2 linked regions of the Drosophila melanogaster genome follow. The main gene of each other region encodes a partner of the protein of the gene in region 2 in a complex. Each region holds a gene or a part of one and is shown on either strand. Other genes may lie near its edges. The genes, in order: NELF-B and Nelf-A.

What was found.
Region 1: Nelf-A (region 2) and NELF-B share a complex: the UniProt entries of both Drosophila melanogaster proteins name them as parts of the NELF complex.

What each region holds. Positions count from the first base shown.
Region 1 is NC_004354.4:7,725,496-7,730,407, forward strand, and holds NELF-B (NELF-B), read right to left. Parts: upstream 2,867-4,912; 5' UTR 2,789-2,866; coding exon 2,657-2,788; intron 2,579-2,656; coding exon 1,280-2,578; intron 1,218-1,279; coding exon 864-1,217; 3' UTR 501-863; downstream 1-500. Other genes in the region: hira, read left to right, coding at 1-250; CG12155 (uncharacterized protein), read left to right, coding at 3,696-3,879, 4,167-4,912. UniProt on the Drosophila melanogaster protein: Essential component of the NELF complex, a complex that negatively regulates the elongation of transcription by RNA polymerase II.
Region 2 is NT_033777.3:21,222,052-21,229,861, forward strand, and holds Nelf-A (negative elongation factor A), read left to right. Parts: upstream 1-1,652; 5' UTR 1,653-1,818; coding exon 1,819-2,028; intron 2,029-2,137; exon of another isoform or gene 2,138-2,538; intron 2,539-2,724; coding exon 2,725-2,979; intron 2,980-3,046; coding exon 3,047-4,453; intron 4,454-4,599; coding exon 4,600-5,763; intron 5,764-5,880; coding exon 5,881-6,312; intron 6,313-6,375; coding exon 6,376-6,531; intron 6,532-6,603; coding exon 6,604-6,735; coding exon of another isoform or gene 6,736-6,774; 3' UTR 6,775-7,461; downstream 7,462-7,810. Other genes in the region: Oga (O-GlcNAcase), read left to right, coding at 1-588; CG3337 (uncharacterized protein), read right to left, coding at 806-1,143, 1,206-1,482. UniProt on the Drosophila melanogaster protein: Essential component of the NELF complex, a complex that negatively regulates the elongation of transcription by RNA polymerase II. Has an essential role in postembryonic development.

The sequences.
Region 1 (4,912 bases), on a different chromosome or scaffold from region 2:
ATCATCCACGTCATCGCTGTCTGTGCCACAGCCAGCTCCTAGTCTCTCGCCAGAGATTCAAACTCTAGACTCGCCCACCGTTTGCATAGATGATGAGATTTTGTCGGCCTCATCTTCACTACCTCCGTTGGATACCTCTCCCGTGGAAGTTTCGCCAGCGTCCACGTCCGGTGGGGCTGCTTCCACATCTCCGGCCGCTTCCGTAGCGGGATCAGCTCCAGTTTCCAGTTCCAAAACAGATCAGACATGAGACGAAAGACTCCTATCCCTAATAAACCTCCTAAATTGTGTGTATTTCCCTAAGCTATAAGCGTTAAAAAACTTTTATACCGAAATTTATTAGGATCTTTCAATTATCCATGTCCGTAAGAAACTCCAGTTATGTAAATCATTAAATTTGAGTAAAGATGAGTTAAAAGTTGAGTATGTGATTACAGAAACTGGTACCGGGAACCAATATTTCTTTCAAAAACCCTGATGAAACTAAAAGACATTGCCTTAGATTTGTACTCTATATTGTGTACTAGAATCGATCGTTACACTAGCGTAACAGTAATATATAATATATATAATAGCCAGCGACAACTGATTGATGCCTGCCAACAAAGCCATACATTCTGTAAATATGTAAACTATATCCGATTGCTCGGTCGCAGTGCTTTATGTTTAGTCTAAACAGTAGAATTATTATTTGCGCAAGCATGCTAATTGGGGATTGCCATCCGGTCGGCTGCTCCAGAGAAGTATATGAGGTAGCCACATACATGGCCTCCGATCATCATCATCAACATCAACATCATCATCACAAATAACCATCATCATCCGACGACAGCCGCAGGTGGTGCGACTGCCGGTGCCTCTAGCTATTGGACATTATAGTGCGGTCCTGGCGTTGGCACACTCTTTAGCGGCGAATCAAACTCCATGGGCGGCGCTTCAATGACCGGCGTCTCCGCCGCCCCGGTGCCGATTCTCTCCTGCAGAATTTCGTACAACTTGTGGATGTGCTCGTTGTGGGCCGTCGTCGGCTGCATAGCCTTCATCAATGTGGCCAAACGACCGGCGGGCAGCTTATTGTGCACATACCACAAAAGTTTCAGCATGTGACGAGAGGTCACATTCTCGCGCGTCAGTCCGGCAAAGATGAACTCGTCGAAGAGCGTGGTGCAGAAGTCCTCCGTGGCAAACTCTTCGCTCATGGGGATGAGCAGGGCAATCTGTAGAGGTAAGCAATCGAGTCAGAAAAGTAAATATTAGAAAAGCAGCTATAAATGCTAACCAGAGAGTGCAGGAAGGGATCCTCATATGCGCGGTCGTCTTTGCAGGCGGACAGAATGGCCAAGACGCGCAACACGCCCACGCGATCCTTCAGGCGCGCCGTGTGCAGCGTATAGTACATGGCCAATATGCTGGCCACGGAACTCTCTTGAATGTACGCCTCCACGGCATCCGGTGCCGGTCCCGAATGCTCGATGGTGGTCAGAGCAGATTCACGCTCGTCCGGCGGTAGTTTCGCGTGCAAGCTGCGGCACTGGTCGTCAACCATTAACGACATGAGGGCGGGCAAAAACTTGGTGACCACCTGGCAATCAAGTTTGGGCTCCTTAAAGTCTTGCGAATCGATCATCACCCAGGCACTCAAGCCCAAGGCCAACATTCTCAACAACAGGATGAGTATCTGATTGTCACGCGGCATGCCCTCGTTGTTGATCAAGTGATGCAATATCTTGATGGCCGACGTGGCCAAAAAGTTGATGGCATACGGATCGCACAAAGTCATGGACAGATCGCCCAGAACCTGCTCCTGACCGCGCTTGATGTTGTCAAGAAATCCCTGGAGCTCCCGTGAACGTTTAATGTCCACATTCTTCTCCCTTATGCAGGCGTCCAGGCACCAGGTGAACTTGTGACAGGGATCTATCGAGATGATCTCCTGCACCTCGAGATCGTGTAAGGCCATCAGTAGCTCTGCACGCAGCGTGCAATAGTGAACATTGCGGGTGCGCAGGAATAGAGTGCGCAGGAACTGCAGCACCATATCGTACAGCTTGACACTGGTGCCAATCATGTTGGCCAACTTTTGGACTACTTCCCCCTGCCTTCGCACCTTGGGCGTTGGGTGGAAGAACAGATTGTTCAAGTTGGTGTGATCAAACAGGATGTGCTCCTTCTCGCGAATATATTGTGAGAGGAGAGGCGACACCTCGTCACCAAACAACGATTGATTATCACGCCATATCTGCCGCTTAACTTCCGTATCCGTGTCCGCATACAGTTCCCGATCCCTTACAAGGATTTTGAGGTACTTGTCATCGATGTGCTGGGTATTCCTCAATATGGCCATGACCACGGGCCGCAGCGACTTCACCCGAACGACGGGGAAGCTCTTAACGAGCAGCTCCTTGAGCTTCTTGTCCCGCTCCCGGGGCTCCTTTTGGCCCATCTCGTTGATGTGAGCTATCAGCTTGTCGCGCAGCTCCTCCATCAGCGAGGTATGAAAGTCCAGTCGACGCACGCCGTGCAAATCGAGTAAAGGCAACATGGGGCGCAGTGAAGGCAGCAATACACCATTCTCAAGCTAAAAAGGCAGGTGATATTTGGATAAATAAGCCCACCGAACTTTTGGCGCCCATTTTTCGGTGCAACGTAAACAAACCTGAAAACTCTCGATGGCCTTCAAGGGATCAGTGCAGGAGGTCAGGGCCTCGCGCAGATAGGCCTGACCCGGAATATTCACGTCCTCCAGTCCAGTTCCATTGTTATTTTTCGCCGGTGTGCTCATTATCATGCAATTCGTCGGCAAATTGAGCAAAACAAGACACGAAGCTACACAATTGTGTTGTTTTTTATTGCTAGCGAGGAGACAAAAAAATAAGCGCAGGCTTGCACATGTGCGGTGTTATCGATAGTGCACGTATCAGCACGGCTTGTAATAGCCAACTTTGTATGTTTAACATGTAGTTATTAATATTATTTTGCCAACAAATAGTTGTATTATTATTATTGGTAGAATGGTAAATGTTACAAAAATTAATAAAGATAATAAAAAAAAATTATATGGGCCACAAATACAATATAAGTCTAATTTCTAATAGTGTTGGTAAAAAAACTGAACTCAAAAAATAAAAACCTTTAATTAGTTTGCCTTAGAACATCATTCCCATACGACTTAATTGTATAAGAACGTAACTTTTAATTGAGGATTATAAATACAGGGAAACGGACTTTTGCTTTTCAGTGACGGCGAAAGAGAACGCCAATTCCGCGATGTGTCATCCCTAGCGCGAAATAAGCAACAGCAAAAACAGCCAAAAGCAAAGCAAGAGCATCAAGTGCAGTCAAATTCGCACAATTGGAGCTGAACGCCAAGGACAAGGCGTCTCGATTCTTGCCGAGATTCGTGCCCCGTAGCGACTACAAAGGAGATCCTGCTGCACACAGTCGCTATCCTTTGCATCGAGTGTGCGAGAGTGTGTGCGTGCGTGTTCCTACACCTACATAAGCTGGTGTTTGGCTCCGTTCAAGTGCGCTTGTGTATGTGTTTGTGCGTGCATTTCGACGAGAACGAAAGCCTCTCTTTTCGTGGGTAAACAAAAACAAAACACCTGAATGTGAGGAGCAGCATTGGTATCGGGATAAGGATCATCAGGATTTGGGAGAGCACAACAGTGGAAACCCACAGAAGCTGAAGCAACATGTCCTCGTCGACGCAAGAGCGCAAGCGCTACCACAAGGACAACGCGCCCACGGACGACATCCTTACGCTGATCAACCTGGTGCGCCAGAATCCGGTTCTCTACAACTACAAACTGCAGCCGAACCAGCGACGCCGCTCCGATGTCCTCAACGGATGGCAGGAGGTGGCCCAGCAGATAGGAAGTGAGTGCTAGTCATGGCCTGCTTCATGTCCGACTATTAGCCTTCTTCCAGAATTAATATAAGCTTCCGCTAAAGTTGGTTTTAAATACCACATGCATATTGTATTGATAGGCTAGTGTTCTGGCGCCGGCTACTATAACACAACTCATAATTTCATCGTTACTTAGAAACGTTTTCATAAATGTGATGCCTTTGAAGAGGTTCTAGCTTGTATCAATTATCTGTAAAAGGAATACGATTCCTTTGAAACCCCGCTCATATTTATACTACCTCTTTCTTTCTTCCAGACAAGTACACGGTGCAGGAGGTGCGTCGTAAGTGGAAGAACCTGCGGGACACTTTCCACCAGTACCGTCTGCGCACGCCCAAGTACATCGAAGGGCGGCTATCCAAGTGGCGCTACGCCAAGGAGCTGGACTTCCTGTCGAAGGTGTACCAGCCGAAACTGAAATCGCACCGGAACACACAGATCACCTATGAGACGAGTGGGGTTGCCGGCGCCGGTGGAGGCATTGGAGGCGCGAATAGTACCACATTGCCCATTGGAGCTATGCTGCATTTGAAACAGCATGTGGACGATGACGACGACGAGGTGATGGACGATGACGGGCAATCGGATCACGATACCGCCACGCTCTCCTCACATCACGGCACCTCGCAGATCACCCTGGTCAGCGATGAGGCGGAAACCTTCATCCTGACCGCCTACGAGGAGGGCGTCTCGGATGACACTGTATCGCAGCACCACCATCACCATCATCATGGCCATCACCAGCAGGAGCATCATCACCAGCCGCACCACCACCACCACCACCATCATCATCAGTCGCAGCACGACGGCAGCATCTCCAGCATTGAGCTCTCCCAGATTGCCCACGATGACGATGTGGTCGATGATGTCGATGACGAAGATGATGTGGTCGACCACGACGGTCAGCTGGATATTGTGAAGCACGAACTGGACGAGGACGGGGCAACCGGCGCCGAGGTGGACTACGAAGAGGTGTGCCTGTACGAGGAGGCCAGCGGTGCC
Region 2 (7,810 bases):
CTGGACGGAGGCAGGCACATTCCGTTCCCGCTGCCGGCGAATGTGCCAAACATTGTGGCGGATGGGCTGATCGGTGGATATCTCACCCTCAGTCCGCAACTGTGCATTGTGGCCTACGACGAGAGTAACCGTATCATTGGATATTCATGCGCCGCCCTGGATGTCAACATATTTCGACGCAACCTGGAGCTGTGCTGGTACACGGAACTGCGTGAGAAGTACTCTAGAGATATTTGTCCACTGGAGGGTGGCGAGGAGGTTGTACAGCTCGTCACCTCCCTTGTGGAGAGTTATCATGACAGCAGCGGTAACGGGGCTCTGGACCAGTGTCCCGTAGAGGTGAGCGGCTCCTTCCCTGCCGTGTTGATCTCCGGAACTTTGCGCGAAGCGGAGGAGCGCGACTCGGGAATAACCAAGCGGATGCTCACCGTACTTCTGGCCGCCCTGCGTGCGAACGGCTGCTTTGGTGCTCACGTTCGCGTTCCGCAACAAGATGTCGCCCAGGTGAACTTTTATTCCAGAATCGGTTTCGTGGATGTCTATCGCGAGGAGGCCACCAAGTGTATTTACATGGGTCGCCGTTTCTAGCGTAGCTGGTTGCCACCTTCACTGCCTCCACTTTTAATGTTCCTTCATCTTTGGTATTCCGGCTAGCGGTGCTAGCTACTCACGTCATGTCCTCGTCCTTTTTGTATTCCCTTGAGGTATAAAGTTTGTATAACTGACCAACCCTTCCAGCATTTATCGTAAGCATTGTTTTCTTACTGAGAAAAACAATAAAAATACCAATTTAATAAAACTTTTGCTAGCTTTTGTTCAGGTCGTAGAACCAGACGGTGTTTACTCCGTCCTCTATAATCTTCACGTGCTCTAGGCTGGGTAGTGGAAAGCGGCAGGCGATAATCTTGGTGTTGTGCGGACACTCAGCAATGAGTTTGTGTTCTAGATCTTGCATCATCTGCTCAACCCCAAAAATGACCACGAAGTTGTAGTCCTTTATATCGAACTTCCAGAGATCTCGCCGAAAAAATCTCGTCCGTTTGGAAACGCTGTGACGCAGCGCGGCCAGGCGCGAGTAGTAGACCAGCCATGGGTTTAGCTCCACGCCATCTGCTTTTAGAGCACCACAATGCTGTGCCGCAGCTGGAAAGAATTACATAAGTTATCTGCAATGTTTTTAAATGGACTAGGTGAAGCGTACTTACCCACTACAATCCGTCCGTCGCCGGATCCAATGTCCAGCAGTTTTCCGGCCGAATTCTTGGGCAGGAAGCTGAGAACGTTCTGTATTTGCTCGGTCGTCGCTGGCACATAAGGCAAGCAAATCCTCCGGAATGCAGGCGCCACAAAGGAGGCGCACACAATCGACAGACCGATACCTACTCCGCCCGTTGCTGCTATCAGGATCTTGCCGCCCGTGGACATGCCACTTTTCGGCGTCTTGGCAAGCGGATTCGGAGCAGATTCGTTGAGGAGTTCCATTTCTATTATCAGAAATTCATGTTTACCTCAATTGCTTAGTATTCAGCGATTATTTATCGATAGCTGGTAGCCCTGCAGGGGGCGCTGTTACAACGGCGTTTTGCACCACTGGACCGTGCACACTGTTTGACATGTGGCAACACTTTTTTCGTGCGTTTGATGTGTGCGTGCGCTTCCTATTACAATTTTTTCGAAGGATTTTTCGTGTGTCTTGTTGACGTGCAGCGCGGCAGAAAGTGAAAAACGCCATCAAATAGTGCCGTGCAACAGGGCGGGTCAACGTTTGGCATAAATTGCAGTGTGTGCCCCGCGTGCGGACAGGCGTAATTCGAAAAAATGGCGAACGTAAGGGACAGCGACACATCACTGTGGCTGCATAATAAACTGGGCACCTCGAACGACTCGTGGATAAACGGCTCCATCTGCTCGCAGCTGAACAAGGAGGTGCTGCGCAACATCAAGGAATGCTTCCCCGATCTGCAAACGCAGGTCAAACTGAAGCTCCTACTCAGCTTCCTTCACATCCCGCGCCGTCTGGTGGAGGAGGTAAATGAAATCCAATGAATTGAAATGGCGTTGGTGTATGGAAAAAGTACACCAGTGCATACGCACGCATACTGCGGCCCGCGCGCACACGTACACGGAGTACACTTACCGTTGTTGAAACAAAAAGTGCGGACAATTTTTAAATACTCGGAAAATCTCTTAGATCCCATCACCTGGCGGACCCCAAAGCACATTTCTTCGCCTTTTAACATTTCCCCCCCGGGCGATTTCGCGGGTTGGTGAAAATAAATATTAGCAACGTTTCCCGCCACTTCTGCTTTTGTGTACACATTTCTCTCTCTCCGACACTTGTGCGTGGATTTCTCTCCCGTGTGCCTCGGTGTGTTCATGTGTGAGTGGGCTGTTGTGGGTGGCCGCGGATTCATTTGTTTGTTGTGCCCTTCCCACAGAGCAATTCGAATTTTATCAGACGTTTGACATCGCAGTTAAAAGATACATTTGTATCTCCAGGCTGCTGAGCTGGTAGACCAAGTATAAATACAAATAACTATTGATTTTTTATTTGATTTGCAACGTGCCGTTATAGTGTAATTAAAATCTGTATTTAATCGATCATACCAGGACTACCAGATCGTAAATATTCATTGTATCTATTACCTGAAAGTGTATTTGAGCATCGAGTTGTCAATTTATTTATGCAACCCAACCCATTGTTGATTTGATTGCAATTTGCAGTGGAAGGCGGAACTTGAGGAGGTGATCGAGGTAGCCGGCCTGGATTCAGAGCTATGGGTTTCCATGCTGGCGGAGACGATGAAGACCTTTCCGGCGACCAGTTCGCTCAACACCGAGATCTCCGATTACGAGGACACGCGTCCCATCTTCATAGACATGGTCAACGACCTGCGCAAGCTGGTCACAAAGCATTCGGACCTCGGCATGCTGCCTCTGGAGTGCCAGTACCTAAATAAAAACGCACTGATCTCAGTGGTGGGTATAGACAAACTTACTAAATCTTACCTGTTTTGAACTAATAATTTTTTCTTGTTTAATTCAGGTGGGCCAGCAACCCGCTCCCGTCAAGCATTTTACGCTGAAGCGCAAGCCGAAGAGCGCCCAGTTGCGCACCGAATTGTTACACAAGTCAGCCGATGCGCAGTCCTCGCTGAAGAAGGCCTCGGCCCCCACAATACCGCTGCGATCGCGTGGCATGCCACGTAAGATGACAGACACTACCCCGCTGAAGGGAATCCCATCTCGCATGCCCACCACTGGGTTCCGTTCGGCCACCGTGCCGGGAAATGCCGCCCAGCGCCCCAATCTCAGTCGAACGCCTGCTGGACGCAAAGACGGTGGCATTAAACTGATCGAATTCACCGAACAGCCCTTGGGTTATGCGGCGGCTAAGAAGCGAAAGCGCGAGCAGCAACTGGAAGAGCAGCAAAAGAAGCAGGAGCAGAAACAGCAACAGGCAGCTGCAGCGGCAGCTGCGGCCGCCACAGCAGCGGCAAGCAATGCTGGTGACAGCTCACCAACGGACGCGGCGACTGCCAGTGGAGGCGAAACACCCGTCACGCCCACGTCAGCTAACAACAGCTTCGAAATCAAAATGGAACCGCAGCAACTCAACCAGAGCGCTGGAAGCCTGGAAGAGCCGCAAGACGATGAGATGTCTGGCAAAGCGAATATGGAATGCGATATCGAGACGCCGGAGTACGCTACAGCCACGCTGGACTTTGCCCAGGCCACTTCGACGTCCGTGGCGGATGGTCAACCGGGAAAACCAGCAGTAGAAACGAAGCTGAAGACGCCGCGAACTCCGAAATCCGCAGCAAAACTGAACAACAACAACAACAACAACAACAACAACAGCTTCAATCACACCCCAAAACGAATCAAGCAGGAAATAGAGATCAAGAGCGAGGAGATCATAGTACCCGCCAGCATCAAACTCGAAAAGATCGAAACTTCACCGTCGACCCAACGCGTCAGTATCCAGCAACAGCCGCCTAGTTTGGTGCAGCGCACCCCGCACCTGCTTATCCGCAGTTCGCCGCAGAAGCGGCAGAACAACGGGGCAACCACGAGTGCAGGCACAACCACAACCACTGTGGGCAATACCACCATCAAGATGGAGAAGCTGGACATCAAGCCAATGATACGCGCCACCGGTGTCTCGCCTTCGACGAGTGCGGGCACTACGACTACACTTCTTACCCCGCAGCAACTGCGTCAGGCGGCCAATCCGTTGGCCAATCTGCCCAACAATATCTCCGTGAAGATAACCTCTGCCAAGGCGAAAGCGGCAGCTGCAGCAGCGGCAACATCCAGTGGCAGCCAGACTCAGTCGCAGCAGCCGCAAACGTTGCAGGTTCAGCAGGCGCCTCAGCAGTCGCATCCCCCGCTTTTGATTAACAGCTCCACACCCGTGATCTTGGCGTCCTCGCCCAGCGCTCAGAGAGCGGTAAGTATAAAATTATGCGTAGCTCTATTGGAGAACTTTTAGTTAGGAATTTCTTTAATTTTCCTGGACAAATATTTGAAATTCTATCACCTGCCATAATGAAACTTAGTCCCTCTTTGCTAATTAACTTAATTCTTCGGTTGCAGAAGGCTTTGGCTTTGCCTAGTAGCAGTACCTCCGCCACAACTACCACGACGATACCGTCGCAAGCCATAAAGACGATGCCACTGAGCCAGCTGAAGACGGCTACCAACAGCGGACCAGTGATCATATCGCAGACTATTATCCAGCCGGCAAAGCGAGCCCAACAACAGGCTGGAACCTCCAGTGCAGCGGCCGCTTCGCAACAGCAGCAGCAACAACAGTCGCAGCAGCAATTGTTACACCAGCAAATCCAGCAGCAGACCCAACAGCAGGCGCAGTTACCACAGCAGCCTCAGCAGCAACAGACGCAGTATATTCTAGCCACACCCCAGCAGCAACCGCAACAAATTCAACAGCAGCAACAACAGCAACAGCCCATTTTGCCAACGCTTACCTCGTTCTCACACAGTCGGCCTATGCCGCAGACTACGACGCTTTACCAAGCCACTACTCCTAGCGGAAGCGGTCAGACGCCGACCAAGATTTTGCTAAAGACATCGGGCTCTTCAAGCGTGGTGATGACGCCTCTGCGCCAAGCGCAGCCGCAACAGGCCACCGCTGTGGTGTCGTCGAATCCTCCGCCATTGGTGGCCACTTCGGCGGCAGTAGTTTCCCCGGGTCAGACAACCCTGAACATTCAGAATGTGCAGCTACCCAATCGACCAGTGACCATCCAACCAGCCTCCCAAGCCGCCCAGCAGCAGCATATGCAGGCCCAGTTGCAGCAGCAGCAACCGCATCCACAGCACACGATCGTTGCCAATACGACGGCCACGCAGCAGCCCAAGTTGTCTCAGGTTCTAATGCAGCCAACTGCAGCAGTTGGCACCAGTGGTGTATCCGCTCTGAACGTATCCCCTACGTCCGGAAAGAACAAGACCATCATACTCACCCAGAAGGGCGTTATACTGCGCAACATTGGCGGCGATATGTACCAGCAAATACCAATCAGCAATGTGGGCAACATGCAGGGACTCGGAGGCACCACGCTGATGACAACCACAGCTGGGCCGCCGAGTCTGGTGAAGACAACACCCTCGAGCGGTGTACAGTTGCAGCAGCAACAGTCTGGAAAGCAGATCCTGCCCACTCTCATACCAACCAGCTCGCTTGGAGGACAGCACGTTATTGTGCAGCAGCAGCAACCCACCAATGTCATCGGGAATGTAAGTGTATAAATTATGTTTTGCCAAACATTATTGGCAATAGAAATCGTAAATCTCTTTTCCCCACGTCCACTATGTTGCTATATGTAAAAATCTAACCACATTTGTATCTATCAGTCCCAACAGCAGACCATCATTCGGCCCGTTATGACCAACGTGGGCGGAGGCTTGACCACGCTGCCGCAGGGCCTGACGCTAATTCAACGGCCGGGCCAGCAGCCGCAGCTGGTGCAGGTGCAGGCGGCGCCGGGCAGCACGCAGCGCACGATTATTACCCAATCGAACACGGCGGCGGCGGCGTCGCAACAGCAGCCGCGCCAGCAGCAGCAACAAATCCTGGTCCAACACAAGCCGGCTCCGACCCTGCAGCAGCGTTTGGTCACCTCCACCACCAGCGGTGGACAGGGACAGCAGGGAAATCCGAATGCGGGGCTCCCGCGTACCGTGCAGGTGCAGGTGCAAGCTCAGCAGCAGCAGCAACCACAGCAGCAGCAAGCTACGCAACAGCAATCGCAGCAGGCACCCCAGCGACGTGGACTCTCTCTATCGGTAACAACATTGCACATATTTCTTTAAAATTAGATTTCAATCCTGTCCTGTGGTTTCTTCTAGAACGAACACGTGCACAAGGCGCACGAAATGTTCCGCAAGGCAAATCGCGTCTCGCGACCTGACAAAGCCCTTATCCTTGGATTTATGGCGGGTCTGCGGGAAAACCCGCGCCCAAATAACGAAAACGTGCTGGTCATCAAGTTGGGCGAAACAGAGGTAAGGCTATTTGCGATTTATTTCAAGCTTCTGCCTTGGTTAATTCTCAATGCTTTATGTCAATTGTTACAGGAAAAAGTACAACAGGACAACGGCCACACGGCACTGTGCCTGGTTGAGTCACACATCCGGCTGGACTACAACACCGGTGAGTGGAAGACATTCCAAAACTACAGGCTGCAGGACCAGAGTGCCGCCTCATAGTCCACAAGGGTCATACGCATAGTTCGCAGCAACAAGTGAGCAGGGACAGCCAGGCTGCAACTGGTTTGTGCGTATATGGATTGTTGAATATGTATTTTAATTTGTCATCCGTTCTGCATGGGCTGCTTCGCTGCCGCCCCTAATTAGGCTATTATAAACCCCCTCTCTCCTAAAAACCCTCACCACAACCTCCCGCAGTCAGCAAGACGCCCTAAGAAATGCTGGATATAATGAAACTATTTTATAATTAAGATAATTTAGCTGTACAGTTGTTTAGAATGTAGTAAAGGCTAGCGCTTAAACATTTAGTAAACAGGCCCGTTCGTACATCCATAAAAACACCCATTCATCCAAGCACACTGGCATAATCACCTCTGGCTGAACGCTTCACTGGAGAGCAGTTGGCAAGGCGGATGGGCCAGAAGTGAGCGTTTGGACGGATCACATAGGCACACACACATGCCTCACACATGCATTTTAAAACTGCATATATATACCTAGCTTATGTAATTGCTGTCGAGTAAAAAGTGTGTAATTATCTTACCAAGCAGCATAAAATTTAGAGACGCTGATCGGCGCTCGTATTCATTAGAAATCTAATGAAAATATATTTAGTTTTAGATATATATGTATGAGTCGCAGCCACCACAGCAAAATTAACTTAAATCTTGAAATGTGTAATAGACAAACAATAAAACTAGCATATGTATTTATGGCTTAAATGTTAAAACATCTGCTCTTGTGCTTGATTATGGAAAATGTAGGTCATGCAAACGTCAACTCACTCGGATATTCAAACACTCGATCAATTGATCAATTTGGTTATCAAGTGGTCTGCGCCCAAGTGGAATTCTAAAGACCTATTGGCGTGGTATGTGATTGAATTTTGAAATTGGCTGTAAGAGCAGTTGTAATACCAATAATCATTGGGAAAATAATTCCTCTTATACAATGTATAAGATTGTACATTGAAATTCCGCTGGGTTGGAATTTTGGAAAGTGCCTTGCCCACGGCCAAGAGAGCGTCAGTGCAATCAAACCACTTTGTGGTTAATTATTGATTGTTGTGTATTTA